3 linked regions of the Medicago truncatula genome follow. The protein of the gene in region 1 interacts with the protein of each later gene in a pairwise test. Links are inferred from orthologs where the notes say so. Each region holds a gene or a part of one and is shown in the gene's direction. Other genes may lie near its edges.

Region 1 (10,968 bases):
TTCTCTAATATATATATATCATATTCACCACAATTCCTTGACCATACACCATAATTCTTCTTCTTCTTCAAGACCCTCTTGCAAGCAAGTTTATTTTGTGTCCTTTTTTTCATGTTTGTATTTTAAATTTTAATATGAGACTTTCTCTTGACATATACCTTTTTTTAAGCAAATGAGAAACATGTTTTGTTTTATTTTCAATTTCAGGGCAACCCTCTTTTCTTTGTTGATCTACAATTAGATGGAACAAACTAAAGAAGTGGAGAATGGAGACTACAATGAAAGCAAGAGGATAATAACAAAGCAATACATGATGATTTTGGTCTTCTCTTTGTTGATAAGCATGCTTGGAGGATCTTTGCTTGGATGGTGGCATCACAAATATCATTCAACAAATAGGCAACTTTGGATGGTACCCTTTGGCCTCATTTTCTTTCTTACTCCACTCATTATTTGGTTCTCCCTTTTCATTTCTCACTTGTTTATTTCCAAGAGTGATGAAGAGTTAGAGGATGCTTCTAATATAAGTCATCTTATTCAAATTCATCCAATGGATGAGTCAATTTGTCATCCAAAGAGATGATCTTTGGCCTAAAAGCTATTTTGTGCATGTTAAGTATTATGGAAATAGTTCAAACTATATAGAACTTGAAAGTAAGGTGTTATATATCATATATGAGTTAAAAATTGTGTTATATATAGATATATATTATCATCCCTGATAATTGCTTCTAGTATTTTTTCTTCTTCTTTAAACAGTTCAAAATACTTCTTAGTAGATGCTGTATATTTGGTAATGTAAGGTTCAAAATAATTGTTGTTCCCTTTGGCATTTCTAGTCTAGGAGTAGTTTCTATGGATTATCCACTTTTTTTTCAAGGATATGTTTATTCACTATTGAATTATTTTGTGGTCAAGTAGTTATTCACTATTTATTTATTTTGTGGTTAAGTAGTTTATTGGTGAATAAGTGGGGAATTAGAGGTTCAAATCCCGGTCTACATATATTGTCATATCACCACCAACTGAGTTATGTTTATGAAGACATATGTTTATGTTTATGTTTATTCACTTTATTCCTTTTCTTTGTTTTTTTTTTCTTAAACTAAAAAATTTATTCACATAATTGCAAGTATTTGTTAGCACAAGATATGCCAAATATTAGCCCAATGATATTTCTTTTCTTTGTCTCTTATTCAAAATATTATATATCTCTTATAACATGACATAAAGAGTCGATATCTAGGGACCTTATTTTCCATTATTAATGTAATATATTACGTAATTGAAAATATCATGGTAGGAAAAATATATAAGATTCTAGGTCATATGTGTGATGTGGAAGCACGAGAAAGAAATAAAGTAAGGTTATGCACTTATGCTAGCCAGAGATGTTGCCTTCCCTAAATCTTATTTGAATATATGACTGGGTATATGTGTTAAGTCTATTTCCAATATAAACCGACAAAATGTAGGGCTTGATTTCAATCTTAGAGGAGACAAAATTATACAAAATGTCTACAATTGATTTAGATAGGTTTAGATTTTTTTGAGTGGAATTATTACTACTATCAATAATGAGTTGGTCTGTGAAACAAATTGAAATTTCTTAAGTAAGTAGTCAGAAGTTTGATATCTGATTTTTGTATAAGGAGAAAATTTAATTGAAGGAGGAAATTAGTCAACATTGAAAGGTTAGATGTTTGATCTCTCACTTTAACTTGAGATCAGATAGACTAGTTGTCCATGCAAGTTTGCAGAACGGGACAATCGATCCAAACATATGCATAGATTTTTGCTTAGTTCAGTTAGTCAACATGTGGTCTCATAACCTCTATTATCCATGCTCAAACCTTGGTTGGACTCAACAAAAACTTGATTTTTTTTTTTATATGTCTGGCGCTTTTTTATTTAAAAAACCTCATTATAAAATTTGATTTAGATCATTAAACATGTTGGACCGGCTCTACTCAATTGGTTAATTGAGCTTCGATTAATAACGAATAATTTAGAATAATACAAATTTAAATCTTAACTGGAGCAAGTATTAACCAAACTTTACATATTCTTATCGAACTTCAAATTATAAGAAGACATTCTGCTCAAACAAGAACAGGAAGGTTATGGACAAATAAAACTAATTTATTGGAAAATTTCACTTAATTATATGAATTTCATTCAATATAATGTTTTTTTAATAAGATAAAATAGACCATCAAAATTAACATAAGAAATAATCTTGACAAAGGCATATTTCAAAGTCTCAAATCAACATCATCAGATCAACTCAAGTGGGTTGATGATATTTCTCTTTTTTACTGAATTAGTGACGCTATTGCTTTATAAAGTAAGTCATGATTGGCATCAACATGTTTCAAAGCCATTCTCATCAACATGTTTCATCCAAATTCAATAGGTAGTGGTCAATGGCATAACTACTTGGCTGTAGTTTAAGTAGGCGCCGCCATCAAGAAATTGGAAAGTAGCAGATCACTGCATCAACCTATGCAGAATTTGCACTCACTACTCACATAACCTAAAGTTGTTTTCAAGCAGACAATGTGGACATTTACAAGCTTGCATAAAATCCTTAAAACTCTTATAATATACCAACATCACAATATTGGTCTTAGTGAAATTAATAATTATAGTGGTGAGAATTTATTGATGTATTGGAGAAGATTTGAAGTTAGAAAAAAAACTTTTGAAGGTGATACAAGTGAAGTGGATGAAATAAAGTTGAAAACGTATCAAAGGAAAACCAATGATCATAAAACTTATATTTAAAATACTTTTTTTAGATACGATGATGTTTTTAAAATACGGTAATTGTACTTTTTTTTTTGTTGAAGGAAACGGTAATTGTACTTTTGGCATCACAGTTTTTAGAAACCGACGATTTTTCTCCAAATTTTCGAATTAACACTTTTGGTTACAAAAATTAAATCCATTTTAAAAAAGTGACTAGGTCAACACATATATGAATATTAAATTTAATGATTTACACATGCGGAGTTTGTTTTTTATTCTAGGAGACGCGAATGTAATATTCTCTAATATATTTTGTATAAGAGAATAAGATCGTATATTTCAACTTATGAATAGAGGATGGTCTAATTTAGGTAGTGTAATTTACTTTAAATAAAATGTTAAAATATGTTTTCTGGAAGAAAAAAAGTCTTTGAGGAATAAGTGAAGAGTTTTAGTTTATATATACAAGCAAAGTAGACACTTCACGCTAAATGTAGAGGTCGGAGTATAATTATTGAAGTATATGATAAAATTTTAAAAAAGAAAAGGAGCAATGGCCCAACACTTTTTATTTTGTTAGGCGTGTTATTGTGGTTGTTGTTCTGACATTGAATGTTTTCCAGAAACACATGAAAAAGATTAAAAAATTCAGCGGTAGTCAACTGATGTCGGGTTTCTAGTTATAAAGTCAGCGGTAGTTAACTACCGCTGAGGGTATTTTAGTATTTAACATGTCGGGTTTCTAAGAAGATTTTGATGTTAGAACAACAATTGTTGTTATTGTAAGTAGCTCTTGACTCCCTAAACTTTGATCATCACCGTCTCTATAAAAAAAATATCATGTACTAGCGAAAAGATGGGTATTCACGTGCCCGTCTTTCGACTCTTTTTAATGTGCTAAAGTTTAAAAATTATGAACGTTGTTTTTTTATGAAAATTTAATTTTGATTAAAAATAAAAATATAAATATATTTTGCTTTCAAATTATAATAAATCAAACTAATCATGATTATCTATTTCAATGATATCAATAATATAACAAATTTTATTTACTCTATCTTCAGTTTAACTTTTTACCGTTTCATTACTTCACTTATAACCCTTTAGATTCATAAGTTCACCTCCTCATAAATTTATGCTACGCAAAAGTTTTTTTTTGTTTATTTCTTTTTTATAGAAAATCTGATTCAAGGGTACTTATCAAAATCTCAAATTAAATTCTAAAATGATCGAGTTCGCGGTTTTACTGAGCCTCTACTATCCAAATTGTGTGCATAGAATCCATGCTTAGTGTAATAAGCTTGGATGTTTGACCCAAAACTAGCGTAGATAACATTTAACTATTTAAAAAAAAAAAAAAAAAAACTAACCCTTTTTCGACCACACCGCCTTTCTCAAAAATACCCTAATTTTCTAACAACATTCACATTTTCCCTAAAACATACTCATGTTCAAGTATTGCCATGTATATATACAACTATTATTTTATTTTATTTTAGGATCATTTGATTTTGGTTGTAATTTTACATTTTACAGTCTTGTTATCACCTTTTGATCCTACAAATTCACGGTGTAAAATTCTTCCTTTTTTGTTGCAATCTTATATTTTACAATCCTGCTACTCTTTCGATCTTATACTCAGGGCCGGATCTTTGGAGGTGCAAACAGCTCAATGGAGTTGGGCCTCCCCAAGGTATGGGCCTAAAAAAATATATATAGCCCAGTAGTACTACCCCACTAAAACAAATCCTTATGAGAACTCTGATACTACCTGTGTTTCTTTCCTTATTCTCTTTCTCTCTTCTGATTCTCATACGACGTGTTACATCACCACCACTCCTCCATCAGACTTCCCTTTCCTTCTTCCCTGATTCAATTTCCGACCAGGCTACCACAAATTCTCAACACCGATTAAATATATATCACACATTTTCTGGCTCTCTTCAATAGATAACACAGATTTTCAAAGTTTTCACTCCAAAATTCTATTTTTTTTCCTCTCTTCAGGTATAAACCTTCATTCTTTGTTTTAATTTTACACATTCTTGCACTCTTTTTCTTCGGTTTTTTTTATTAATGTTGTTTAGGGTTTTTGTTTTTATGTCAAAAAGTTCAATTTTTTTGGTGATATAACCCTAGGTTTATGAAATTATGATAATCTTGAATATTAGAATTGTTGAATTAGATGTTTATTTTCTTATTCCGTTTGACATATGGTGTGGGAATATATGATGCAAAGTTAATTTTGAAAGATTTTACTGACTATATTTTGTCAAATAGAATCAATGTTTGTAATAACTTATAACAATGTTATTTTGCAGTGATTTGCTATGTCGTTACACTTGTATACTGTTATGAATCTATCATTAAAGTAGTTCGACAATCTATAATTATTACAGGCCGAACCTTGTATTTATCTTTTAAAAAATTTAAATAGAACATTGTTCTTTAAAAAAAATATATTTTTATTATAGACCTCTTTTCACTTACAGAACCAAACCTCTTGATTCATAGGAACGGTTCAATTGTGCTAGATTCCAATTCTAACAAACTTAGATTCAAGCTTTGCGATAGTCAATATTGTACATGAGAAAATATAGAGTAAATTTTTCCAATTTCACTTAAGATTTCCATAAAATTTCATATAACATCTTTAGAAAATCTATCAAAAAACTCACAACCCTAATTCTTTGATTTTTCTAGTTTTTTAAACCATCTATTTTAAAAGTCTGATTAGACCGAGTTGCTCCGATATTTAATGAAGTCAAACTTACCTCAATTAAAACCGGTCCTAAAGATCCAACCAACACGAATTCAACAATAGTTTTCCGGTTGAACCGATTCAAAACCAAACTCAACTCTCGGTTGAACTGAGCGATCCGGTCTATAAAAACACTGTAGTACCCCAAACCGAACGAAGCAACAGTCAACAACAACGAAGTACAAGAAGAATACGCACGCGCGGACATATAAATAACCCCTTTGTCGTTTTTGAGGTAAAAGATTGGAACAACCTAAACCGAACCACACTCACACACCAAATCTAGTCTTTAACAAGTTTTGTTCTTTGGTTCGGTAATATTTTATTCTAACTCAACAACATTTGTTAAAGTACCTTAATTTATTCCTTGTTCTCACGTTCTTGTTCTTTGTCTTTGGATTCCAGAAACAACACACATAGCATCCTTAAAGATCAAAACAACAAAGATCTTGTTACAAAAACATCTTCAGTTTCACTTCACAAAGTTTTTTTTTTCAACTGAACCAAAACCCAGGTACTATTTCTCTCTCTTTCTGTTAAAGTTTTTGTCTTTTATACTTTTTTATGTTAATTATGTTATATCCTTGATGAGTTTTTTTTATAGGTTTCTATTTGGGGTTTGGGTTTGTTAACTGTTGATTGCGTTGATTTTGGTTAATTAGGGTTTAGGGTTTTTTATTTTATTTATTTTTTTATTAAATTATTTCAGTGAAAATAAATAACAAGGAGGAGAAGATGCAGCAGACACCTCAAATGATTCCTATGATGCCTTCATTCCCACAACAAACAAACATAACCACTGAGCAGATTCAAAAAGTATGTTTTTTTTTTCACTGTTTCAATCCCTATTTTTCAATTTGATGATAAAAAAATTAAAACTCTATTTTTCAATTGTAAGTTATATAGATTTTTATTTCAAGTTTTTGTTGGATTTTATTGTTCCTCCCTTCATTGGAATGATTTGGATACTGGGAAGTTATGGTTGTTAAACAGAAGATAATGATTTGGATTTTTTATAATATGTATTATTATTTTTTCTGATTTTGTTGTAAGAGTTATATCATGTGTCTCGATTAATTCTTTGCACAACAAAGGAAAGCAAGAAGGAACAAGAAGTGCATCTTTGAGCTGTTTTGAGATAATTATCTAGATGTCTAAGTATGTATTTCCGTGATGGTTTGAATCAAATTAGTTTATATTGAGTCTATACCTCCACTCAGTACAATCATGTGTGCTGATTATTTCTCGGCTTTCTTGATGTCAACTGACGCCTGTTGTTAGTTTGTTATTGTCCAAAAGGCGTACCTGTAATTCTGTATATATCTATATCTACTTGCTGAGAACATCATCTTGTACCTGTCGGGCAGGCTGAGTCTTAGTTTGTTTTTGTGTGATAGATTCTCTATCTTGAGAACCTCTTGTTGATCATAAACATGTGATTTCTGCATTTGACGCGTGAGTCATCATCCTACATAGACACCTTAAACCCTTGGAAATTACCTTACTCTTTAATTCTGCGTTGAGTAAGCATGAAATTTAATTAAAACAGACCTGGAAAATTCTGCCACATATAATTAGGACTAGACTTTTTTTTAGGATAGATAGAAGATAGAAGAATATAGACAGATTATGATTACTTATTTTAATTGAAGAAAATGTACAGCTGAGAGAAGTGACAGCCATCGGTGTCTAGAATCTGAACAGTTTGCCTCAATTGAAATTTTAAGGGCATTAGTATTGCTTCTTTGCACAGTTATTAAAAGAAAGGATAAAGCGGACACAAGCAAGATGATTAATTATAGTTATCCTATAATAAAGGCGCACACACATACATATGGTCTTACTAATCAATCAGAGCCCTTGTTATCAATACTAGACCATCAATCTCAGCATAGGCATAACCATGTGTTTGGGAGAACTTATGAAAGTAACTTAAGTGTGGTCAATTTGGAAAGCTAGAAATCTTGCAACTTTCCTAGGGCAAGGTGGTTCTTCCGGATGTAATTCTAGAACAGTGTAAATTGTTGTCTTGGAAATGGTTACACTCAAGGAAAAAGTTTCAAATATTCAATTTCTCAATGGATGTCTAGCCCTCTTGGTTATGTAGGTGTTGGTGGATTATTTGTTTAAGTTTGCAGTGGACAATTTTTTAGCACAGGTGTTCTATGTGGCTCTATGATAGTTCAACTGAGTGGAGTTTTATGCATCCGGTGGCATGCGAGTTGAGTTGGCAATTGTGCTGCTTTGGTCAACCGGCCTTTGTGAGTCAGGGAGTAGTATTAGTGAGGTCTTATACTTAATTTCTCAAGTGTGAGGGAAGTATACTGAAGGCCCATAGTGCAGTTTGTTTTTTACAGGATGATGGTGAATTTTCCGATGTAAGCTGATTATAAATCCTGAGACGCAATCGTAGTTTGGGAGTGGTTCCTTTCCAAGTGCAAAGTTTGGTTGTATTGAAAACTATTCAATACATGTTGCTCCATTGTTGTATTAGTTTCAAGGAGTTGGGGTAGAGTAATGAGGCTCAATTTCATGCCTTGTTGCAACCTTCCTGCATGAAATCAGATTGTTCTGTTTGTGGCAGTGTTGTCCATGGCGAATGGCGGACCATGGCAGAGAACCAAATACCCGCCATACCAAACAACATGTGGCGCCACCATATCCGAGTATGACGCCGTTGCGCCACCATCCTTCCCAAAATTAGCCATGGTAAACAGCCAAAAACCCACCACCAATATCTGGCGCCATGGCTGATGTTTGACAACACTGGTTTGCGGGTCTGCAAGCTTTGGTGGGAAGTATAATGTCATTTCAAGGGACTGTTTTCATCTGCAACATTTGAAGTTTGGGGGATGTTTGTGCAGTCTGAGTCACAATTTGGCTGGCGTCCGTGCAGTTGTTTTTATGTAGCATTCGTTCTAGTTCTTGCTCATTTTTCTTTTGGCGTGTTGTCCTTCGGAGTCAGTTTGGCTCTGGTGTTTTAAGTCTGATTTTAATTCAGAACTTTGTATTTTTTTTCCTTCCATGCACACTTTGTGCTTGGCTGTGGTTATTGAATGCATTCTCTTTGCTTTTGCAGTAAAAATAGCTTATGAAAACAACTTACAACTTATCTGGACAACTCCTCCTTGATTATCGAAATAACTTGCACATAAGAATTTGAGCAAGCTGTTCACCCAAACATTGATCCATTAATAAATTTATTATCATGAAATTGTCCATTTATTCTTGATGTATTAGGAAATTTCCATGATTTAACCCAAGGTTTTCTCTCTATTTATCTATTTATCACAAGAATTATTACTTCATTATTTAATTTGAAAGCCCTTTCTTGGCATATGATGCAGTATCTTGATGAGAACAAGAAGCTGATCCTGGCAATATTGGACAATCAAAATCTTGGAAAACTTGCAGAATGTGCCCAGTAAGTTATCTCTAAAATCTCGCTGCATTGTTAGTACCAACATTCAGTGTTGTTAAATAGCAGTTTTATAGGTTATTGCATAGTGGAATTTAACCAGATCACTATTGTTCTGCGATATGCTATTTAGTACAGAATATTGTGAAATAGTGGCGCTACAGCAATATTGCATAGTGGAATTTAAACAAACCTTTTTTTTCTGCAATCTGCTATTGATATCACTGCCAACTATTACCTGATTGTATCTTGTTCCTCTCATCCCTTACATTTTAAAATACATTTGATTTGACGTTTCACTGAAGCATATAATATGTAATTTATAATGGTCTTCATTTCTGATGGTCGAATTTACTAATAATATAACTTTTTTAATCTATATGCAAACAATTGTTCTCTTAGATGTTTGTGTCAACATCGGTACATTGCCGAGGTTTTATGTTATGGTTGTGTGATGAATTTGACATCTTAGGTACCAAGCTCAGCTTCAGAAGAATTTGATGTATTTAGCTGCAATTGCTGACGCGCAGCCACAAACACCGGCCTTGCCTCCACAGGTTAAAATAGATCCTAGCTTATGTCTTGGAAGTCGGAAGAATTTTCCATAACACCAATTTAATTGCCTTGTAATGTGTTTTATTTATGCAGATGGCCCCGCACCCTGCGATGCAACAAGGATTCTATATGCAACATCCTCAGGCTGCAGCAATGGCTCAGCAACAAGGAATGTTCCCCCAAAAAATGCCAATGCAGTTCGGTAATCCGCATCAAATGCAGGATCAGCAGCATCAGCAGCAACAACAGCAGCTACATCAGCAAGCTATGCAAGGTCAAATGGGACTTAGACCTGGAGGGATAAATAACGGCATGCATCCAATGCACAACGAGGCTGCTCTCGGAGGTAGCGGCAGTGGTGGTCCAAATGACGGGCGTGGTGGTGGAAGCAAGCAAGATGCTTCGGAAGCTGGGACAGCCGGCGGTGATGGTCAAGGAACCTCTGCCGCAGCTGCGCACAACAGTGGAGATGCTTCAGAAGAGGGAAAGTAATGTGATTTTCGTGTATGTTGTTTAATAAGACAATACCATGTGACTGTTGATAGTAGGATTTTCTTAAAAAAGGTAGCAGGACTAGAATGATCTTGATGCCCTTTGATTGGTCGACCAGAGGAGCTTAGGTAGATGTGATGTTGTGTTGCTAGGGTTTTGGCATGCAGCGAGTTTGTGTCGACTGAAATTGTTGTTGCCGCAATAGGAAGTACTCGATACCTAAAGAGGTGAAAGTTTGTGATCCATAGTAACAGTGCACTGTCGTTCAAGTTTGTGATTGTTGTTTCTTAGTTCATTCTTAGTTTTCAGTAATTTTTATAAATTTTCACCTTGTTTTCATACTTCTCAAAGATTCTCAAATGATGAAAAGGTGAGGAGTTATTGGATACTCTCTTGTTAGTTGTTACAATTCAAGCAATCATCGACTTCAACCATTGGATGAATATCAAACCATTCGTATTTTATTGTGTTTTCAACTCGATTAAGATAGTTATAATATGTGTAGTGTGATCTTTATCTAACGACTGAGATCCATTGACTACAGTGATTGTAGGATTTGATAACAATAGAGATTTGGATTATTGTTTTGATATGTGTTGAGTGCATTCTTGAGATGATCTAGTTAAACATAAATTTAGTGATATTATTAGTTCCTTTGAATAAAAAATCATTATTCACTTCCAAAACTTTAGGGATTTGAAATAGTCTAGTTGAATAAAGGGAGATTGAGATTTGATCACGTGATATGAGAGAATGTAGATAGTACTCAAAGTAAGAAACAAAAGGAAAGGGTTATCAAGAATAGTGTGGTCCATGACTCTCAAAAGAGGTGCATGAATTTAAGTGGATGATTGGGTTTCTAAAAATACTAAAAAGGGGTGTTCTACGGTTTTCACACTCCTTATACTGTCAATGAGTAGTTTCTAAGTTATCAAGTTATGAAATTTTATATATTGGTCGTGATTAAATGTATCATCACAATCCAAATGTA
Region 2 (11,119 bases), about 4.5 Mb from region 1:
CAATATTTTTGTTTGGGTGGAGTAATAAAAATTTCAATGTCATCATTTTTGAGAAACTTTTATAAATTTTAAATTTTTTTTGGCCAAATTTAAAAATTGAAATTAGGGGTCAATTTTTAAATTTCAAAAATTTTGAGGTGACAATTTATAATTTTTGAAAAATTTGAAGGGTCAATTTATAATTTTTTGAAAATTTATTGGGGTCAAATTGAAAATTTTGATAAAATGAGGACCAAAATGCAAATTTTGAAAGATTATAACAATGATGAATTTTGAAATTCTTACCTTTTAGGTGTCATTTGAAATTCTCTAAATTGAACTTGAACAAAATACTTCATAAATTCTCATCATTTTGAAAATTCTTCAAATTATTATCCAAACAATGGAATTCACCTCAAAGTATTTGAATTCCCTCATAACATTACATTTTGAACATTCTCCCATCCAACATTCAATTTGGAAATATTGATTTTCGATTAAGGGATCAAAGTGACAATTTTCTACTTTCACTTTAATCTCTCTAACATCTCATGTATGCCACCTCTTCAGTTAACATAAGATTTTAACGGTAGGAAGTAATGTGATAACGAAACTGCACATTCAGAGTTCAGACACTACTTTATATTTAATCGTAAGTCAAAAATCTATGTGACATTGAAGTTCGAGATCAAAATAACCATTTACTAAATAAACAATTATGAGAACCGAGAAAAATACTACTCCTTCCGTCCCAAATTATAAGCAAAAAAAAAAATCACACTTATTAAGAAAACTAAAACATACTCCATCCGTCCCATAATATAAGCAAAAAAAAAAACTCATTTTCTTTGTCTCAAAATATAAGCAAAAAAGACAAACTTTTATCCTATTTAATATTTTTTTTAAAAAAAATATTTTTTCCAAGAAAAACTTTTGTTTATTTTCATAAAATTAAATGCAAATTACATTCAATTTTCTCTCTCTCTCTCTCTCTCTCTCTTTCATTTTTCCATAACCAATAACTAATGAAAATTGTTTTTACATCTTCCTATAAAACTTTTTTTCAAAGAAAACACAAAAAACTATACTCCAAATTCTTATGTTTTAGTTTTCTTAATAAGTGTGATTTTTTTTCTTCTTATAATTTGGGACGGAGGGAGTAAGAATTTGAAGTATAATTTTTTGTGTTTTCGTTGAAAAAAGTTTCATAGGAAGATGTAAAAACAATTTTCATTGGCTGTTGGTTGTGGGAAAAATGAAAGAGAGAAAAAATTGAATGTAATTTGCATTTAATTTTATGAGAATAAACAAAAGTTTTTCTTGAAAAAGAGATTTTTTTTAAAAACAAGATTAATTAGGATAAAAGTTTATCTTTTTTGCTTATATTTTGGGACAAAGAAAATGAGTTTTTTTTTGGCTTATACTACATCTGTCTCTAATTATATGAGCCTTTTGCAAAAATTACGGAGTTTAGGAAACTTGGTTGTAGTATTAAATTTATATATAATTACTATTCACCAGATATACTGCATGTAATCTGAGAAAATCTTTTATTTTTGCTGGTGGCATTACAGATTCGAGAATTAATTATATTGTCAACTTGCTTGGTTTTTCTGTAGGTTCACTCCCTTTTACTTATCTTGGGGCTCCCATCTTTAAGGGTAAATCTAAATGCATACACTTCCAACCTATAGCCGACAAGGTGAAGGCCAAACTTGCAAAATGGAAAGCTTCACTACTCTCTATTGTCGGAAGAATTCAACTTGTAAAATCGGTGGTCCAAGGAATGCTTGTTCATACAATGTCTATTTATTCCTGGCCAATTAAAATTCTTAGAGATATGGAGAAAAAAACTTCATATGGAGTGGTGATATCACAAAGAGGAAAATGGTAACGGTAGCTTGGAAGAAAATATGCACAGACTTTGAAGAGGGTGGACTAGGGCTCAAATCTCTCATATGTTTGAATGAAGCTACTAACCTGAAAATGTGTTGGAACTTACTCCAGTCAGATGAGCAATGGGCAATCATAATTAGAAACAGAGTTTTAAGAGACCATAAATGCATTAATCATCACATCTTCTCATCTATATGGAGTGGAGTTAAAGGTGAATTTCAAGTTATCATGAACAACAGCTCTTGGATAGTTGGTAATGGGAAACAAATAAATTTTTGGTCAGACTCTTGGTCTGGACAGGTTCTTCCTCAAACTTACAACGTGCATTATCATATGCTTCAGCTGTTACCTAAGAAGTTGGAGAACTATATCAACAATCACAATTGGAACATTTCAGAAGAATTGAATCAAAACTTCCCTAATCTGAGATCGTTGGTCTCTCGGATTACCCTTCCTTCTAGTGATCAGAGAGACACGCTAGTTTGGAATCATTCCTCTAAAGGTGACCTAACTCAGAAAGATGCATATGCTTTTAAAAAACATCACTTTCTCAAGATTAAGTGGGCAAAACTCATTTGGTCAAAGGATATCTCCCCTTCCAAATCTCTGCTTGTTTGGTGAATGATGCTAGATAAATTACCTACTGATGAAGTCTTAGCCTCCCGAGGATGTCATCTTCCTTCAGTGTGCTCTTTATGCTTGGCTCAAGAAGAATCCAATTTTCATATATTTTTTCAATGTTAGTATGCAGTTAATATTTGGAGGTGGTTTGCTACTTGTTTAAACTGTCCTCTTTAGTTTCAATCTAAAGAAGAAATGTGGTCCACCATTAAGAAATGTCCTCTTCCTGCATGTATGATTTTACTATCATAAAAAAATTCAACATCACTTTGCATCCTCCTAGGGCCCCTCTAAACTGGATAAAGTGCAATTCTGATGGGTCCTCAACCTCTCTCTCCTCCGGCTGTGGTGGTATCTTTAGAAACCATAATTCAGATTTTCTTCTTTGTTTTGCTGAGAATACTGGTCAAGAAGATGCTTATTATGCTGAATTATCAGGTGCTTTGAGAGTGATTGAATTAGCAAAACAATTTAATTGGTTCAATCTTTGGCTAGAACTTGATTCAATCTTTGGCAAAACAAAGCCATAGTTCCTTGGAGGTTAAGGAATAGATGAGATAACTGCTTGAACATTGTGAGCAACATGAACTTCATTGAATCACATATTTTTAGGGAGGGTAACCAATGTGCTGATCACTTGGCAAACATGGGTTTAACTTGTAATGTTCCTTACATATGGATGCAGCTCCCTAGCAGCATTAGCGCTTTTGTATCTCAAAACAAGTTAGGGATGCCTAACTTTAGGTTTGTTACTCATTAAGGAGGGTTTGGGTTGGCCCCCCACCCTTTCTTTGTATTTTTCTCTTCCTCTTATATCTATATTTTCGGTAGTCTAGTGTTTTGCTAGCTACTTTTTTGGAAGAAAAAAAAAGTATACAATTACTATTGTTTTTACAATTTTATCTTTAAGAGAGAGATAATTTATGTTTTCAACATAATATTTATTTTTGATTGAAAAAAAGATGCAAAATAAATAAGGATATGTTGATAAAGAAATAATTAATGGACTTAAAAATATCAAAAAGGTCTTATAAAAAGGGACAATTTTTTTTTTCTGGTGAGGCCTACGTTACCCTCTCATGATATCAACCAATCAAAATATAATATACATAGGTAACATTAAATGTCCAATAAATGAATAGATTTTTTCTAAAAATAAAAGAGTTAATCTTATTATTATTATTTTTTTTTTAAGAAGAGTTAACCTTAATCATAAGGTAACTTTTAATACTTTTAATTTTTATTTTGAAACATCAAATGATTTTTTTTTTTATATTAAGGTGTTCAATCTTAATTAATTTACACCACAAGACTTATAACAAATAAAATTTTACATCAAATTTCTTTCATCTGGATGTACTTAAATTCATCACTTACATTCATAAAATTTCTTCTATTCCAGAACCCCGAACGTGAGAACAAAAACATTTCATTCATTCAAATTTATTCTTCCTTATTGATCAATTCTTGTTTCTTTTTCATTCTTCTTCCCATTTTGATTGTTCAATTTTGTCGTTCCAATCTGCCGCAGTTTTCAATTATAGTGAGAATTGTCGTTGTTTCTAGAACTGCGTCGGGTATCGTAACTTATTTTTTTCATTTAAGCAACCAACCTAATAAAATCTGCTAACACGCATAGACCTGCCTCACTATCAGCCAAAGCCTTTAAGTCCAAACAAAAGAACAAAAGCCTCATCACATAACAATTTCAGCAGCAACCAAAAAAATGCTAGCAGACTTCCACAAAATCAAAGCGGCAACACCTGCAAGCAGCCCTTAAAGTACAACACATGACTTACTCAATTATTATAATTAACTACCTCACAACCAAGAAATATCAAATCAAAAAGAAAAATCAAGTCACCATACCTGACGTGGTACTGGAAATAACGACAATTCTCACGATATTTGGAATCAAACGAACGACGACGATTCTCACGACAATTAAAAAATGCGGCAGTTGGAAACGAAAAAATTGAACAATCAAAATGGGAAGAATAAATTTTATGAATATAACTGATAAATTTAAGGACATCCAGATGAAAGAAATTTGATGTGAAATTTTAATTGTTCTAAGTCAGTCCTGTAGTGTAAGTTAATTAAGATTGAACACCTAAATATAATTAAGGCAAGATTACATTATGAGTCCTTTATCTTATTTATTTGTTACACTTTGGTCCTTTATCTTTATTTTTTTCCGTTTAGGTCATTTATCTCTCTTAGAAGCACATATATATCTTTTTTCTCTTTTTTTTATTAAAAATGAAAAAAAATGCAGAAATATGATGAAGATGTTCATCATCTTCATCTTCTTCCTTTGAATCTTCATCATCTTCTTTAAATAAAAAAAATTCTACTAAAATATATCTCCAAATATCGTGAATTAATGTTATATTCACCTCAAATCTTCTTTTAAACACAAAAATCAAAACCTTAATTTCACAAATGTTGCAAGGCGGATGGTGGAGGCTTAGTCACTGGCGGAAGGGTTAGGCTTTACGAAAGTTAAGATTGTTCTGGAAACAACAAAATTGATGTGCAAAATTGCTCTCAATTTTGGGGTTATTTTTATGCCGGATTTGAATATTGATTTAGAAAATAATAATAATAATAATAATAATAATAATAATAATAATAATAATAATAATAATATACGGTGTGACAATCTTTTTTTTTTTTTTCTTCCAATGAAACTAAATCTCTTTCTCTAAAGGGTTTTGATTTTTGTGTTTAAAAGAAGATTTGAGGTGAATATAACATTAATTCATGATATTGTCAGAAATATTTGTGTAGAATTTTTTTTGATTCAATGAAGATGATGAAGATTCAAAGGAATAAGATGAAGATGATAGACATCTTCATCATATTTCTGAATTTTTTTCATTTTTAATAAAAATATATTTTAAAAAATAAAATTATGAATTTTAAAAAAAGAATGAGAAAAATGATGTATATGTGCTTTTATAAGAGATAAAAGATCTAAACGGAAAAAAATAAAGATAAAGGACCAAAGTGTTACAAATAAATAAGATAAAAGATCTCTAATGTAATCATGTCTATGATTAAATAAAAATTAAAAGTTACCTAATGATTATAATTGATTTTTTTTTAGAAAAAATTGACTCATTTATGACATTTAATTTTATCAATGTATATTACCTTTTGATTGGTTGATATGATGAGAGGGTAAGTACTTCCTAAACAATAATCTAAGAATTTTTTTTTTTTCTTTTAAAATAGGTCTTATAAACGAAAATAAAAACGATTTTGATTTTTATTTAGAAACCAAATACTATACGGTACACGTAAGCTTCCTCGGTGTTTGTATGTAGATATGTTTGTCTGGTCACTCCTGCAACAAAGTCTTGAAACGTAAATAACCTTTGTCAGAAAAATCTCTGACATCTCTTTACTGCCTTTCCTTCACCTTCACATCTTCTCTCTCTCTATCTCTACTAATTCACTTCTGAACCTTTTCATTTCAATCCTAACTCCTTTTTCTACATAGTTCATTTTACTTTTCATTCAAAAGTGATCATCATCATCAGTATCAAAAAGAAAAAGCTCATGCATATGTTGACAATGGAAGCTAAACCTCTTCAACTTGTTCCCTCTTCACACAACAGCACAACTGGTTTCATTCCACTCTCTTCTCTTTTTCTCTCATCACATGTTTTTCTTTCAACTTTTGTTTTTGTTTTGCTTAAATTTTGTGTCTTTTTATATAGGTGGTGGACCCCAGATGAAGATTGAGAATGGTGAAGTTGATGAAGAGAAAAGGGTTGTTGTTGGAGTGAAGGAAGATATAGAAAACAAGCCTTTGATCACAGAAGCTCAAAGGCGTGAACTTGATCATCAAGTTTTTATTTTTAATCATTTTGCTTATAATCTTCCTCTTCCTTATTACCTTTTGCAATTTCCAAGTAATATGTCAGGTTTGTTGAAATTTCTTATCATACCCTTTTCAATTTTATAGAGAATAGTTAATGCATGTTCACCTTTTTTGTTTTGTTTTGTTGAGAAAGAGTATATTTTGGGATTGAGTTGATTAAGTTGTAACTTGTGAGAGTTGTGATTAACAAAAAAGGTCTTGCAAACGAGTGTGTCCGAGACATTTTTTAAGCATTTCAAATTAAACAATTACTTAAAAATGTTACTCCCTCTGTCCCTCAATAAATGACCTAGTTGACTCTGACACACGTACCAATGCATATGTTTTATCTTTGATATCTTCAATTCTCTACTAAAAAAAATTATAAAAATTTAATATTTTAAAAATATTCATCGAGACGAATCCAACAACATCTTACATGATATTATTTATCTTTGTGAATTAGTAGAAAAATATGGTCAAAATATGTCAAGTCAATAATGTATATTATCAACTAGGTCATCTATTAAAGGACGGAGGGAGTAAATATTTTGATTTGTAATGCATTGAATACACACATTTTTATAGATACTTACCACTTATGGCAACATTTCCCTCAATAAAAGGACTCCTTTTTAAGTGTCGTTTATTTTGTTCAAAAATTTGGTTCTTTTATAATTGTCGTTTTCAAATTTCAAAGTAGCATTAAATATTATTTAATCAAAATATGGTTCATTATAGAACATTATGACGTAATTTGATCTTGTAACCGATCCCAGTCCCACTTAGCGGTGTAAGGCTTAATGGTTGCTGTTGTATCCCTCTTATATATTGTTGAGACGGAGAGAAAAATAAGTGAGTTAGATGACAAATTATTACAGGTAGTGTAGGAAATAGATGAAATTGTTAATGGAAAGCAGCAAAAATTAATAGATTAGTTTGTGTAAACAACCTTATAATGACTGTTAAAAAGGAACAAAATGAGTAGTAGTTCAATTGCCCCTTTGTGTACTTTGACAAATCACTGTTAATTGTGTTTAGTGGATGATTAACGAATTGTGACGTTACATCTGTTAGCCATCCATTGAATGTAATTAACCATGAATTTTGACAAACCACAGTTAATTGTGTTTAGTGGATGCTTAGAGGATTTACTAATGAATTTTAATTTTTTATTGGTCCTGGTCCATCTCAAATATGTTGATGCTGAAAACATCTATTGTTTATTGTTTATGAAAACTGTTTCTCTTTTCCCTTTTTATCGGTTCATTTCTTTCGATTTCAGAGTACAGTCGTCGTGGGTCTGATTATGTGACTATGGTGGATCAAGAACCACATAGGTGTAGAAGAACTGACGGAAAGAAATGGAGGTGCGGCAAGGACACAGTACCTAATCAGAAGTATTGTGAACGTCACATGCACAGAGGTCGAAATCGTTCAAGAAAGCTTGTGGAAACATCTCAACTTAACTCTCCTTTGAAAACAAATCCTAGTGGTGGTGGCAAGTCACATGCAAAACTAGTCCCAAACATTAAATCTTCAGTTTCAAATCCAAACCCTTTGATTATTCATCACAATGGCACATTCTCATACAATCCGAGGACCTTCTGCGTTGTAGATACTTCTTCTGTTTGTGATCGGTCGAGACATGTCATAGATTATGGTGCCACTGCAGTGACAACTTCGGGAAGCACGACATCCGTTTCTTTGGATAACAGAGTTTGTCCTAACGTATGCAAGCAAGATGAGCAGATCAAGAGGTGTATCACCGACAACGTGGGTATTAAAAGTGGTCGGAAAGGAAGCATATCTTGTGAAAGTATTGGCATCTCTACTGGAATAGGCTTTTCCCCAAAGAGTGTTCTTCCAGGTAAAACTTGTTGCAAGTTGTAACAAATTTGGGTGTTTTTATTCATGGGATTAGATGATTGCATAGGCGTGACAAAGTGTGAGTTTGTTTACCTTAGACAAGCCGTTCATAAAAAGGCTAGGGTAGTGGGGAGGCAGAGGCATCTAAGTGGTCGGCCTAGCATTGAGGGTAGATGAGGGTGATGTCATTGTGTGTGTATTTGTTTAACTTTGACTTCTCATCTCCAATGACAAATTACTAGTATCAATAATGATACATTTGAAAAATTAAAATAATTGCATATAGTAATTTAAAATGAGATTTATATTCAGGGACAAAATTGTTTCCAAAGGAAGCTTATATATAGCGACAGAGGTAGTATTGTTTAGGAATCTCTTATTTGCATGTCAATATTGTATTTTAGGGTCAACTTTTCATGACAAATCTAATATGACCTTTCTTGCTTATTTTCTGCTGTCATTTCAGTTTCTGGTTGCAATGATTCATACCTCAACAACAGAAACAATATATTAGAACCTGAACCCGGTAGATGCCGAAGAACAGATGGTAAGAAGTGGCGATGCAAGAGTGCGGTTCTTCCAGGTCAGAAGTATTGTGCAACACATATGCATAGAGGTGCTAAAAGGCGTTTTACAAACCTCGAATCTCCTCCTCCTGCCACCACTGTTATTCCTAAAACTACTGATATTAGTTCAGCTGTTACCATTGCTCAGTTGCCCGACCCTTCGGCTCCAATCGACATCCAGAAAGCGAATTGTTGGTCTCCGAGCACTAAGCTTTCAATGTCGGTTCAAGAAAGTGCGCCCTTTGTTGATTGTAATGAGAAAAGTGTTAGCAGCGGTGACACGGATGGTACTAGTACCACCATCACTGACACCATGAATGAGTGTAGCTATCTTTCTTTCTAAGTAGTTGTGTTTAATTTGTTGAAACATGTTAGGTCTTCATATATGAATGAACTTCGTTAACCTATCTGCAAACTGAGATCAGTTTTGTGTGCAAAGGTCTAACACATTATCAATATGTGTTGGTGAAGAATATATGAATCAAATTTTCTAAGTTGCATTTTAGGTTTGTTTATGTGAAAACCAACCAATGTGCACAGATTTTGGCCTATCAAAAGAAAAATGAAAAATGAAAAAGAAAAAAAAAATGGAAATGGCTTCGCCCAGGCTCGAACTGGGGACCTTCAGTGTGTTAGACTGACGTGATAACCAACTACACCACGAAACCATTTGTGATATAGTTTATACCATTTTATTATTTTACCACTAATTTAAAATTAAAAGATTAATTCAGGGACGTTATGTATAAATACAGGGTACAATTTTAAATTTGGCTTGTAAACATTTTTTATTTAAAATTTGGCTTGTAAACAAGTCTAACAATCTTTTGTCTCTATATCGTTCCAATTTTATCGGATGTTCTCGAAGGGGCAAAAATTATTTAGACATGCTACTTAAAAGTCACCTTGATCTCTAAATCTAACTGCTAATTTTTGATTTAGACTAACAGGATATATATTGATTTTTAACTCTGAGCCTATATAAGCACCCAAGTTTTTTAAAACTCGTTTTTTTACAAAACTTGAAATTAAACCTTGACGAATGGTCGTGTTTTGATTCCTCGTTCGTTGCTTCATATCATTGTATCTTCACGTCGTTTTGAATGTTTATTTGTTCATTCTCATCATTGTTTTTGTTTGTATCATATTTAACTTGGACGCTTCCTGACTTATAAGAAGGAGCTAAAAATAAATTTTACTAGCTAGCTACTACTAGTTGTTCTTGTCATCTTAGTCGAAATGACATATAAACACCACAAGACACACTCAAATGGCAACACCAGGGTTTAAATCCCTGAATCGGCTTCCCTTGTCGCTAAAATGGCCAAAGTAACCAACAGTGGAGGACCTAGTACTGCTAGTGTTAATCTCTGTAAATTTGAATTTCTGCAATAATATTTCCTAATCTTGGTGAAGCTAGAGTCTTCTTTGCTCAAGTTTGATTATGGTTCTCAAAGATGCAATAGAAAAAATCAATATGGAGTGTTTCTTGTGTTTAAATCAGTTAGCAAAAACCAACAAGGTCATCATAGCTATAGTTTGGGATGACACCAATTTATCTAACAGCACAATAAAAATGTGCATTTTGAACACAATTAAATTGCAAGCATGTTCCAACTTCAAAATCTCTACTCAGTTATTATGTTTGAAGAGGATTGTTTTGTCCTGCATGAAGCATTTCTCCAGAAGCATATAGATGACCAACATAGTCGATGGCTAAGATTCATACAAACAGACAAAAGATCAAATGAATTTGTGAAACAGGCGCATTTGCTCAACTCCAAATTGCCTGTGATATTATTTTGAACAAGAGCAGTGTGCTGATTTCATTCCAAAGAACATTTTTTCTCAAATGCTTCCTGCTCTTTGCGGCACAAGTCAAATTCATTTGTATGGTAGTACATGCAACCAACGTAATCGTCCATCTCCTTTGTGCACTTTTGGTGTAGATCCTTGAGACTGCACAACAAGCATTTAATTACTATTATCTAGAAATTCACAAGGAGAAAATCAGTTGTCTAAGTTTAACAGAGAATGCTTCATATAATGATAGAAACTAATTAACACTTGGCAGTCATCTGACTGTAAACTCAACCAGAAGTCCATAACAAATCAAATAAATCAATGAAAAAAATCATGTATATTAGAAAACAACTATCAATATCATCATAAAAAACTGTATGTATAGCTTAAACCTGGATAGAATACAAGGACTTTATCTGGAAAGGCTCTAGGAATACTCTCTACTCTAGAAGCCATAGGCCATTGAGTAATAGACTGAAGCAGCATCTCTAACAAAGGGAAGAGGCTAGAGGTA
Region 3 (11,523 bases), about 1.9 Mb from region 1:
TTTATATTCGACTGAAGGCAAAGGCTACGGTAGGCGATCTCTTTAGGTCTCCTACCGTAGGAGACTTGACTTTTTTTATTTTGTTTTTGTAAAATAGATGTTAATCATTGGATATATTTGAAAACTTTTGATGACCATGATATTATTATACTCTCTCAACACTAGATACTTTTTACACTATTCCATCATATATCCTTCTCTAACCCTCTCCATGTCTCTGCTTATTCCCTACTCGCTCACCACCACCCCATCATCCTTCTTTTAACACCGTACACTTCCACTCTTTGGTCAATCCCTCTCATATTTTAATTGCTGTTGTTGTTAAAAACATCAATTATTTTTTATGAACAGGAATACCACAAACATCAATTGAACAAGAAAATCATTAAAATATAATTCAATTAAACAAAACAATATTGAGGCTTTGTTGAGAGAGTTCAGTGGGTAGGTTGTCTTCTTGATTAAGAGAATGATGGGGTTTGGTGTTTGTGTAATGGGTGGAAAGCAACGACATGTCTTAAGGATGTATAAATTTTATTTGTGTAGTGGGTTTGCTTCCTTCATGTTGTTGGTGTCGTGAGCCTTTGTTAATGTTGTGTGGCGCTAGTTCAATTTCATTGATAAAAGTCCAATCCTATCCTGCTGTGCCAGTTTCATCATATTGGTGGGTCTTCTTTCTTATTAATTAAAGTTGCATCGTTAACAGGTTTTAAATTCCTTAAGGAAAGATTGGTTATTGATTTTAGATCTGGATTTTTAAGAACAAATTGGTGAAGATGAAAGAAGATTGGATTTGGGAAGAACACATGAAGATAAATTTGGATAAAAGTAATTAGGAAGAATATGAAGTATATAATTTGACGATGATGGAGAATACGGTGGTGGGGAAGGAGGATGTCGGCGGCGGCGGAAGAGATGAGAGAACGGAAAGAGGAAGAAAATGTTTTTTTCCTATGGTTGTTTTGGCTGAGGTTGAAGAAAGTGGGAAGAAAATTCAATGTTAAGGGAATACAGTAAGTTCAGTGTTCTTCAACCATCTAATGTTTACACATGTTATCTTTATTGTAAAATAAAAAAAAAAAAATAATTAGTTTTTTATAAAGTCATCCACCATAGGAGACTATTTAAATCTCCTATCGAAAACGGCACCCTCGACTGAATTATAACTCAACAATAGAGTGTATTGAAAATGTTACTCTAGCATTAGCATTATTCAACCTCTTACTTGAAAGATTCAAACCATCTTACATCTTACCCGCATGTTATTTATTTTTATTTTTTTTAAGAAATCTTACCCACATGTTATTGGTACGTTTAAATTTAGTTTTTGTATGAGTGTCTTTTTTTTAAAAGAAAGAAGTTTTTTTATGAGTTAAAAGTGCTTATAAAGACAGGTAACATTGATTTCATATATTTGGCCCTAATTTGGAGCTGCATAGACTAGATCCCACCACACATTTACCCATCTTTCTATGGCATTGGCATATTTTTACTATAGCGCATGACGTTTCAATAAATAATTAAAATAAAATAAAAACACACTTTAACTCATGGTGGGAGTGTGGAGATGCGGATAACACTTTGGTGATATTGATCAATCACAATATCATAAGTGTACAAAATGATAAAAAATTATGACTTTCTTCTTACTCACTAACAAGCATTTTTTGTCATTTTGCACACTTGTGACATTGTGGTTGGCCATGACATTGGCACCTCAATATCACCAAAGTGATGTCCGTGGAGATACTAATTTTCGAACACACTCTTTAAAATATTTGAGTATTTTTTTCATAAAATTGTCTCCTTTACAATAATTGGTTTTGCTATAAAAAAAAAAAAGCTTAGTGGTGTATTGCTCGATTGTCTAATATTTATGTGTAACTTGAAGTTAACTTGTAAGTGTGATTTTGAGTTTTGAATTTATCATACAAACTTACTTAATGTTTTTTTTAAAGGAGAAATTCATTGCTTCTTATTATCAATCAAAAAAGAAATACATGACGGTACATTATCATAATCATGGAAGCTAGCATGAGATGGGGCTACCTTAGTTAATGCATGAGTGATCCCATTGGTTTGCCTCCTATTGAACTCGACATAAGAGTTCTGAAAACTAATCTGAAACAATTGTTTACAAGCATGCATAATACATCCAAACTCATTGTCATTCTCTAAAGAAGACCGAAAATGATCAACCACTATGTTAGAATCTAAAGCAAAGTCGACATTATCATAGTGAAGTTCCGCCATCCATTTCAACGCCGTATGAAAGCCTACGGCCTCACCCACAACAACATTACAAAGAGGGGAAAAACAATATGTTTTAGCACTAACAAATTCGCTCCTGTCATCACGAAGACAAATCCTGATACTCACATATTCATGGAAGAAGAAAAGGAGGAATCAATGTTACATTTATACCTACCATAAGCCGGCTTCGACCATTCCACCACCATACTATCGCTAGAATTGCCTTGGTGCGTCAAAGGTACATCTTCTCTTTGCAACCATATTTGTTGGGCTGATCGCCAATCATCCAGGGTATGCTTTGCACGCTCCAATACATGCATGATCGTTTCATTTTGCTGCTGCCACAATTTCAAATTCCTACGCTTCCACATACTCCACATAATCGTCACAAATAACTCTCTTTGGACCAAAGGCAGCTGATCAAGAAGAGTAAAAATAAGTGCATCCATATTATAATTTTTTCGGAGAGTTCTGTCAATTGTGTTCCATAATTGAACCACACGCCAAGCTTGCCTTGCAGTGAACATTCCAACAACACATCAATATTATCCTCATAGTTAACTTACTTTAATGTTAATAACTAGCTAGCATAAATCATTGTATATTCAACTAAATTTTAATCAAAATAATGTGTGTTTGAATTAGTCTTTAATTTAGTATAATTAATCGCAATATGTCACCATGACTTTGATAAAATTTAAATTTTGGATGCTAAAAGAAAAGCATCATAATGAGCAAATGAAAAATGTGCAAGAAATCCAAAACTAGTTTAATATATTAATGTATATGATGCTAAAAATATTATATTATATTATAATTACAAGTGGAGAAGTCCTGTGCATAGTCTCTGATGATTCCAGTCAAAGAAAAAAACAAAAGGCACTCAGGTGATCTTTTTAAGCCTGCAATGTAACAGCACAGAATCAGCCAGCAAATAACAAAAAAAAGAAAGAGAAAAGCTGAAAGGAAAATGTTATTGAGGAAATTTTTGGGTTAATCAATATGAAAGGTTCAGTTAGGTGTGTGAAAAATAAAAATAAAGCATGTGTTTTGGGACAGAGAAACAGTGTCTGTGAATAGTTTTAACCCTCAGAGTGCACTTTCCTGACACCTTCTGTAGAAGAAAAAAAAAAAAAAAAGACAAGTGCTTTCAATTGCAAAACAACAAGAAGCACGAACCAGCTAGATAGTCTTTTACTTCCACTGTACCAACCAGCATCAGTGAACTTCAAAAGTTACATCATCATGATGATGATAAATAATGCTTATAACTCTGAAACACTGTGTGTGTGAGGGAGCAAAAATAAATAAATATAAAGACCTTTCACTTTGCTGCTATATTGATATTTGTTTGACATTCAAATTTGTCATGTATCTTGTATTTTTATATGATATGATTAGTTACCACAAATTAGGAGTTTATGAAGCTTGAACGACTGAATTAAACAGCATGTATTCCTAATAAGAAGATATAATATAGCATGTAAAAAGAGAAGAGGTATTTATATTAGTAGTTTTCAAATCATAATTTTTAAAAGTAATAAAAGTTGTAATCTTCAAGTTGATTGGTTATGAGGAAATTGTTGGTAATATAAGAGATTTGACTTATATACTCAATCTTTAAATTTTGGATAGAGATGTGGTGTTCAGTCTCTTACGGATCCTTGATCATTGACTCGTTGTTTTTCTCAGCTCTCCTCTAGAATCCCCAAAAACTGGTATGGTAGCCTTGATTCAACTTGATGGGGAGAGTGGAGGTGGAATCCTAGTGTTGGATCCTTGTATTGAAAGTCCTCATAGAAAACGTGTTATGTTGGAATTATGTAGTGCAAATATAGAATGTGGGAGACTTGCATTTAAGAGAAGATTGTTGGATTCGAGTGTGAGTGGTTTCCCACATCCAATGTAGTTGAGTTAAATATTAGATATATAATAGGTGTGACTCATATACCAAACGTCTTAAGATTTCTAATAGAGATTAGTTGTTTCTCTACCGTGGTCATGGATCATTGGTTCTATTGCTCTTGACGCTCCATCAAACACCTCAACAAATGGTATTAGAGTCTTAGTTCGACTTAATTGTGGAGTTGGAGTGGATCATGATGTTGGATTCTTGTATTTGAACTCTTTCTCGCATTGTAGTAAGGGCGTGTTCTATTGGTTAATAGATGTGCAAGTATAGGATGTAGAAAACTCACACTTGAGAAGGAGATGGTTGGACTCAAGTGTCTCACATTTATTATATAAATGAGTTACATATTAAATTTATACGAGAGGTAAACCATAATATATACTTTATGCGTTGAGTTTTTAGTAGAGATTTGGTGTCTTGGCATTCCTTGATCATTTGCTCGTTGTTGTTATTGGTGGGGAATGGATCCTCTCCGGTGACTGGAGGGTCCAATGAAATCTTCTCCATTAAAAAATAAATGCATTTGAGAAATTAAATGTTAAAATCAAGAGAGAAAAAATATTTAATGACTTAAATGCATTTGAGAAATTAAATGTTTAATGACTTAAATTAAATGTGAAATTCCTTATTGGAATTATTGTATGTGTTGATATTATAAAATTACAAGTAATTTAGAAAGAAGTTGTATCAAACTTGATATTTCTATTCAATCTGAAATTTAGAAACTACAAAATATAATCCAGACATGTACTTATAACATCTTGTTTAATTCATCTTATACCGTATTAGAAAAGCCTCAAACAATGATTTGGCCAAAGCCTATTTTTGGTAACCAAGCTATAACTTTAATATTTAAAAAAGGAGAAGTGAAACACACACTTACTGTTATTCCTATATGGCCCAAAAAGATGATGTATTCATCTTGTGGTTGAAGAAATCATATTAACAGCCAAACATGTAAAGGATTATCATGACATGACTGTACCCAATGAAACATAAGAGTCCAAAATTGACTGTAACCTAATTTCTATCCTTGAAAGTAAGATGCCTAATGGTGAGAAAATGTAACAAAAGATAACACATCATTCCGTACCTAAAAAAAAAAAAAAAAAGGATTCAGCTTTAGCCAATGACCTCCCATATCTATGAATAAGATCATGCCAGGCATGCTTAAACCAAAAAAGATTATAAATGACACGTACTAGACTTTCTTATATTCAAAAGCTATACCATATCCTAAGATTGTTAAAAGAGATTTATACCACCGACTACAATTGCGATTGGTATGGTTAGACTTTTTGCTCACATTCGTCGTGTGACTCAAGCTTGAGTCTAAACTTCTATAATTTCTTATAGATTAAGGACTTTTTGACCTCTAATAAACACTCCAAAATATCTTACTTTAGGTTTAGATCTTTTGATCGTGCTATATAACCAATTCATAAGTTGATAATAGGATGTCCTTATTGTTTATGCGAGGTTGGAATGTCTCTCAAATATTAAACTTCAGGAATCAAATTTATATTCTTAATCTAAAAATTATAAAGAAAAAAGGAAGAGAAAAAAAAAATTGATGCTATATCATGATATATGATAAAATAGGCAGTATAGGTAGCTAAGCAGCTTACACTTGACATAATCTGATGGCACTGTTTTCAAAGAATGATGTGGAGACAGCAAAACCAAAGGTGCATGGACTAACATGCATTTGCATTTAATTTTTTCTTTGTACATTAGTTTATGAATTTGTGTAAAAGATGTCAGAGACAAGGGCAGCAGCAGCAACAACAAAGGCAGGTGCAGAGAAAAAAACAGAAGCATCACAGGTTCAGTCATTATAAGTTCAGACTCACTATCTCACCCATCCACCACATAGCAAAAATTAGTGAAGAGGTGGCAGAACACAATTTTCATATTCATTAACTATTATCCATCCATGCACAGTACAATAATCTCCAACCCCTCTTAACCCTCTTAAATAAAAGCATCTTCAAGAAAATCCTTATTTTTGTTTCTCAAAAAATGATGAGTGCAAGTTCAAGAAATAGGTCACTTTTCACACCAAATCAATGGCAAGAACTTGAACAACAAGCCCTAGTTTTTAAATACATGGTTACTGGAACACCTATTCCACCAGATCTCATATACTCTATTAAGAGAAGTTTAGACACTTCAATATCTTCAAGAATCTTTCCTCATCCACCAAGTAAGTATTGTTATAACTCTTTTTATTATATTTTATGATAAAAGAAATACTATATACTTTATGTTGTTGTTGTTATTATATATATGTGTATACTTTATATTTGTTTGTTGTCATAACTGTGAATGGTGCAGTTGGGTGGGGATGTTTTGAAATGGGATTTGGCAGAAAAGTAGACCCAGAGCCAGGGAGGTGCAGAAGAACAGATGGCAAGAAATGGAGATGCTCAAAGGAAGCATATCCAGACTCAAAGTACTGTGAAAGACACATGCACAGAGGTAGAAACCGTTCAAGAAAGCCTGTGGAACTAGTAGTTTCTTCTTCAACAACAACACCAACAAATAACACAAACACAGCATCTTCTTACAGCAACAGAAACATCTCCTTGAACAACAACAGCAGCAGCATAAACTCACCTTCTTCTTTCCCTTTCTCTACTTCATCCATGGCTTGTCATGATCAGTCACAATCTTTTTCACAATCCTACCAAAACTCTTCTTTAAACCCTTACTATTACTCTCAATCAATTACCTCTACTAAACCACTTGATCATTCTCATTTTCAAACTCAAGATGCTACTACTCATCACCTCTTTTTGGACTCAACATCTTATTCTCAGGATGACAAGGACTTTAGGTATGTATAAAACCAATAAATTCTAAATTGTTTTTTCAGTTACGCTGCCAACTTTTATATTTATATCTAATGCGGTTGAAATTGCAGTTGTCATACCGTTATAGAGACCTCTAAATATATTTATATTACGATTGCAGACTACAATTTAAAATCATAATAAACATATATATATATATATATATATATATATATATATATATATATATATAAAATTGCTAGGTTTTGATATTTTGTTGTGTATGTGTTATTGTACTTGATTGTTGATAAAGGAGGCAAGTTCAAGGAATAAGAGATGGTACTGTGGATGAGAGAACTTTCTTTCCAGAAGCTACAGGTTCATCTAGGAGCTGTTATCATGATTCATATCAACAACAACTATCAATGAATCCCTTTAAGTCTTACTCAAGCTCACAGTTTCAGAATATCAATGATGATAATTCAAGACAACAACAAGAACAACACTGTTTTGTTTTAGGCACTGACATCAAGTCAACAAGAACAACAAACAAGGACAAAGAAAGTGAGACAACTCAGAAACCACTTCATCATTTCTTTGGTGAGTGGACACCAAAGAACACAGATTCCTGGCTAGATCTTGCTTCTAACTCCAGAATTCCAACAGGTTGATTATCATTTATCATCATTCCTATGTTTTTGTTTTTTTTTTGTTATTATTAATATAAATATTATTATCCATAAAGTTATTTAATATTATCACACTTTACTAGCGTCTAGATAGGCACTTCTGTCTATGTCTGTCCGCTTTTTCTACTACGCTAACAAATTTATATACTTTATTATCCTTGGCAGATGAGTGAAGTTATTATTTGATTAAGAATTGCTGGTGGATACTGCCAAGAGAGAGTTAAAGATCAAAATGTTATGTGTGGCTGGGGTGAATTTTCTTTAGCAAAAGGTGTGATCTTTATTGTGTTATGTAGGGGACCACATTAGGATTTTTTTGTGTGTCTTGATGATATATTTTATTATTATTATAATATGCTTTGTTTCTTCAACATGAAGAAAAGTTAAAAAAAACATGTCTCAGATTTTCACACTTAAGATGTTTGACTGGAAAGCATATTAAGTTGCTTATGCAGTCTACTTTTTTAAATGGGTGGTAGTAGCAATAGCAATCAATCAAGGACAAATTTAAATTAACTTTCTGATGCTTGTGCTTGTATGTTGTGATGTATGGACCCAACAGCCAGAAAACATGTGCAATGAATATTTTGCAATATATTTACTACTGTTTTAAGATTAGGTGGGGAGAGACTGAGAGAGACACTTCCCCCACATCAAAATTCTCTATAACATATATCCAATTGATTGTAACTAGAGTGGTTGTAAGGTTTCAAACTTTGCATCAACACCTTATATTGTTTCATTCATTCACCACCCTTAGGATATAGAAATCAATGTGGTGTAACTAGGTACATGTTTAGCTTTATAATTTGCATCCTTCACTTTGGTTCCACTTCTAGAGGAACTAGAATTGATTCTGAATTGTTTAGTTATTGTCGACTAGAATTGATTCTACTTGAAACTAAGATATGTAGTTTTTGATTCTAGAATTGATTTTCACGCACAATTTTATAATTTGATTCATTTTTACATAAATTTGACTCATTTTTACATGAATGTATTCAAACACAAATCACTTTTGGTCAAGTTATTTTTAACCAAAATCAATTCTTTCCACACACAACCAAACTTCTATAACATCTTACTTTATAAACTTTATTAATTATTTGGTTACTAGCATATCCTTAATTAGTGGTAACAATAATCAATTCTAAGATAAATTTGTAACAATATCAATGGTTAACTAATTTAATGCTACGTACTACTAGTTTTCTTATGTCTTGTGATTTAGTCGACAAAGTTCTATACTTAGGGACAAGGGAGAACACATTATTAATGTGTTTTTTCAAAGTTCTTCTAACAGAAAAATGGCATAGCATAAGGGTATCATGTGCCAATTGTACTATATAGTACTATTCTACAAAATTACTTCATACCCTCTTGGACATATTTATTTTGTAAATTACAATTTTCTCCTACCCCACGTTTTATATCTGAATTCTGAAGTAAATCTATCATTTGGTGGTTGGGAGTTTCGGATACATATCAATAATTAATTGCTTTGTTTTTTTGGTTGGACAATAGTTCATTTTGTTTTAAATGAAAGAAAACATTATTCAAATTATTGCATGCTAAGAGAGTAGGAGGGACAAAAACATCCGGATTAGGATTCTCTCTATTGAAAATTTTCTTAAATTTTCTCATGTGAAATCTCAACCATCAATCATGAGAAAGAAAGTGAAAATTAAATTATAACGAATAGTAGTTGTTGTATTTTAATAGTGAAGATTGAAAATGGAGAAAATTGAAGAAAATTTTCAACGGAGAGGATCCAAATCCAAAACATCAATAGTTTCCTCACTCACAGTTAATATAGCAATAAATGAAGGATATTAGCTGAGATTGTTAAACTCAAAGACCATAATGCCCCACGTTAGCATTAGCATTTCCTTCTAAACAAGGTTTTTCTTTGATGAACGTGTGAAAACTACCAAATAAAATGCATCCCAAGCCGAAATATCACAAGTACCACCTTGTCTCGGACCATCGCAAGAAAAATTATAATCATAAATCTTTTTATCCGGCATTAACTTGGAACTGTGTGCATCCAAAGCACCGTTTACTAATATCAATGTAGTTGTATGTAAAGTTTTGATAAATTCCCACCAATACCCGCGCCATGAGATTAAGAACATAAATTCAGAAGCCCTGGAAGAATCGAACTTGAGACTTAAAGGAGGAGCACGCTTTCAAATCCCAAGCCAGTATCACAAGGCCAACCCAATACCTCATTGTTCAGCAAGTATAGAATTTTTCACTCCTAATTTGCAATTATATTCTTTCTAAGTTACTCCAATAGAGGGTGTCCTTCTAGAGAATAAAATACATATCTTAAGAAAAAAGTTTCTATCTCCAAAATGATACTCTCTGCTTTGGCACCAGAGAGGATTCCAATTGACATAAGATGCCTGTGCATGCTGACACACACTAATCACTTTCATGCGAACTATCTATATGTAACTTTTTCCTTTTTCCAAGTAACAAAGAAGAGAGAGTAGGAAGAAGATGATGGTTCATCTTAAAGACTTGCTCCATTGTAGAAAGAGCACAAAAAAATTCAATATGATGAGGACTCCAAGTTCATACTATATAAGTTAGAAACATAGAGTTGTCTAGAATATTAATTTTTCTCGTTAAAACTCATTGATTCAAATCATTTCCTAGCAACCAGCGTTCCAAATAATAATTGAATCTAGAGATTGCTACCTGATTCCACATCCAATGATTCCAAGCTAAAAAATTTGGTCAGTTGTATTTTTCACCACATTGGTTCAGAGTTGAGAAACCACATCATCACTGGCGGAGCCCTTCATGGCTCACCCAGAAAAATTAAAAAATCAACGATTATAGGTTTATTTTGCGAGATTTTATGCAATTTTGTGTTGGTTTTATGTTTTGGTTGATCCAAATTCCTGCAAAATGGTATAGTGGCCCACCCGAAATTTAAATAATTCAATTATATGTCTATTTTGCGAGATTTTATACAATTTTATGTCGGTTTTAGGTTTTGGTTGATCCAAATTCCCGCAAATTGGTGTAGTGGCCCACCCGAAAAATTTAAATAATTCAATTATAGGTCTAATTTGCGAGACTTTAAACAATTTTTCAATAGTTAATTTTAGTGGCCCACCCTGACATTTTTTTTGAGCCACTGCACATCATAGTCACATATTGCATGCATGAGAGTTTCTGGCTAATCATTACTTATAGGGCACAAATTAGAGGTTATTCTCCTGCTATATTGTTCTGTACCTGGCCATAGGCAAGGATTTTAAGAAGTGAAGATTTTTCTAGTTTCAAGTCAAACATGATATGCAATAATGCAGTATAAAAATTGATAGGAGTATATCCATAACAAAAATATTTTTGGAAAAGAAAATCCTTTTTAACATAAATTATAACTGCGTAAAGTATTATAAAATCAATTGACAAAAGAGAATACAGCATGATTACCTTTTGATTATTGAAAAATGCTAACGAGTATCCTTAGAGCATTTGTTAAGAAGTCTATAGAGAAAATGTTGTCTTGGAAATTATATATTTAACATGTTGAAACTTTAAAAATAAAAAAATAAATTTTTCTACAAAATTTGAAAACCATTTCTATTTTTTAATTCTTTAGAACACTTGTACAAAACCCTTAATTATTTTATCTTATAAAAAACTTTTCTGTTAGTTTTTTATTTCTTTTCCATCTCTGCAACTAGTGTCTTTTATAGGGTTAGCTAGCTAACATTATTATGACTTATCAGTGTGCAAGTAATCCTCCCTACATGTATTGCTTTCTTTTATTTTCAACATTGGCTGCTTAGTTTTAAAAAAAAAAAATGTATTTCTTAAAAGAAAATGCTAGCATGTGACCTAAGAGCGCATC

Evidence for each region.
Region 2: the proteins of GRF1-interacting factor 3 (region 1) and growth-regulating factor 9 interact in binary tests that used the Arabidopsis thaliana proteins (3 or more experiments, as listed by UniProt). The link is inferred for Medicago truncatula from reciprocal best matches to the Arabidopsis thaliana genes GIF3 and GRF9.
Region 3: the proteins of GRF1-interacting factor 3 (region 1) and growth-regulating factor 5 interact in binary tests that used the Arabidopsis thaliana proteins (3 or more experiments, as listed by UniProt). The link is inferred for Medicago truncatula from reciprocal best matches to the Arabidopsis thaliana genes GIF3 and GRF5.

What each region holds. Positions count from the first base shown.
Region 1 is NC_053049.1:9,085,112-9,096,079, forward strand, and holds GRF1-interacting factor 3, read left to right. Parts: upstream 1-5,764; 5' UTR 5,765-5,826; intron 5,827-5,917; 5' UTR 5,918-6,026; intron 6,027-6,221; 5' UTR 6,222-6,247; coding exon 6,248-6,328; intron 6,329-8,859; coding exon 8,860-8,936; intron 8,937-9,402; coding exon 9,403-9,487; intron 9,488-9,578; coding exon 9,579-9,977; 3' UTR 9,978-10,411; downstream 10,412-10,968. UniProt on the Arabidopsis thaliana protein: Transcription coactivator that plays a role in the regulation of cell expansion in leaf and cotyledons tissues.
Region 2 is NC_053049.1:13,573,622-13,584,740, reverse strand, and holds growth-regulating factor 9, read left to right. Parts: upstream 1-5,846; 5' UTR 5,847-6,063; coding exon 6,064-6,130; intron 6,131-6,224; coding exon 6,225-6,431; intron 6,432-7,652; coding exon 7,653-8,237; intron 8,238-8,702; coding exon 8,703-9,145; 3' UTR 9,146-9,307; downstream 9,308-11,119. Other genes in the region: NADH dehydrogenase [ubiquinone] 1 alpha subcomplex subunit 8-B, read right to left, coding at 10,629-10,761. UniProt on the Arabidopsis thaliana protein: Transcription activator that plays a role in the regulation of cell expansion in leaf and cotyledons tissues.
Region 3 is NC_053049.1:7,190,967-7,202,489, reverse strand, and holds growth-regulating factor 5, read left to right. Parts: upstream 1-5,835; 5' UTR 5,836-6,187; coding exon 6,188-6,371; intron 6,372-6,502; coding exon 6,503-7,004; intron 7,005-7,273; coding exon 7,274-7,626; intron 7,627-7,814; coding exon 7,815-7,822; 3' UTR 7,823-8,246; downstream 8,247-11,523. UniProt on the Arabidopsis thaliana protein: Transcription activator that plays a role in the regulation of cell expansion in leaf and cotyledons tissues.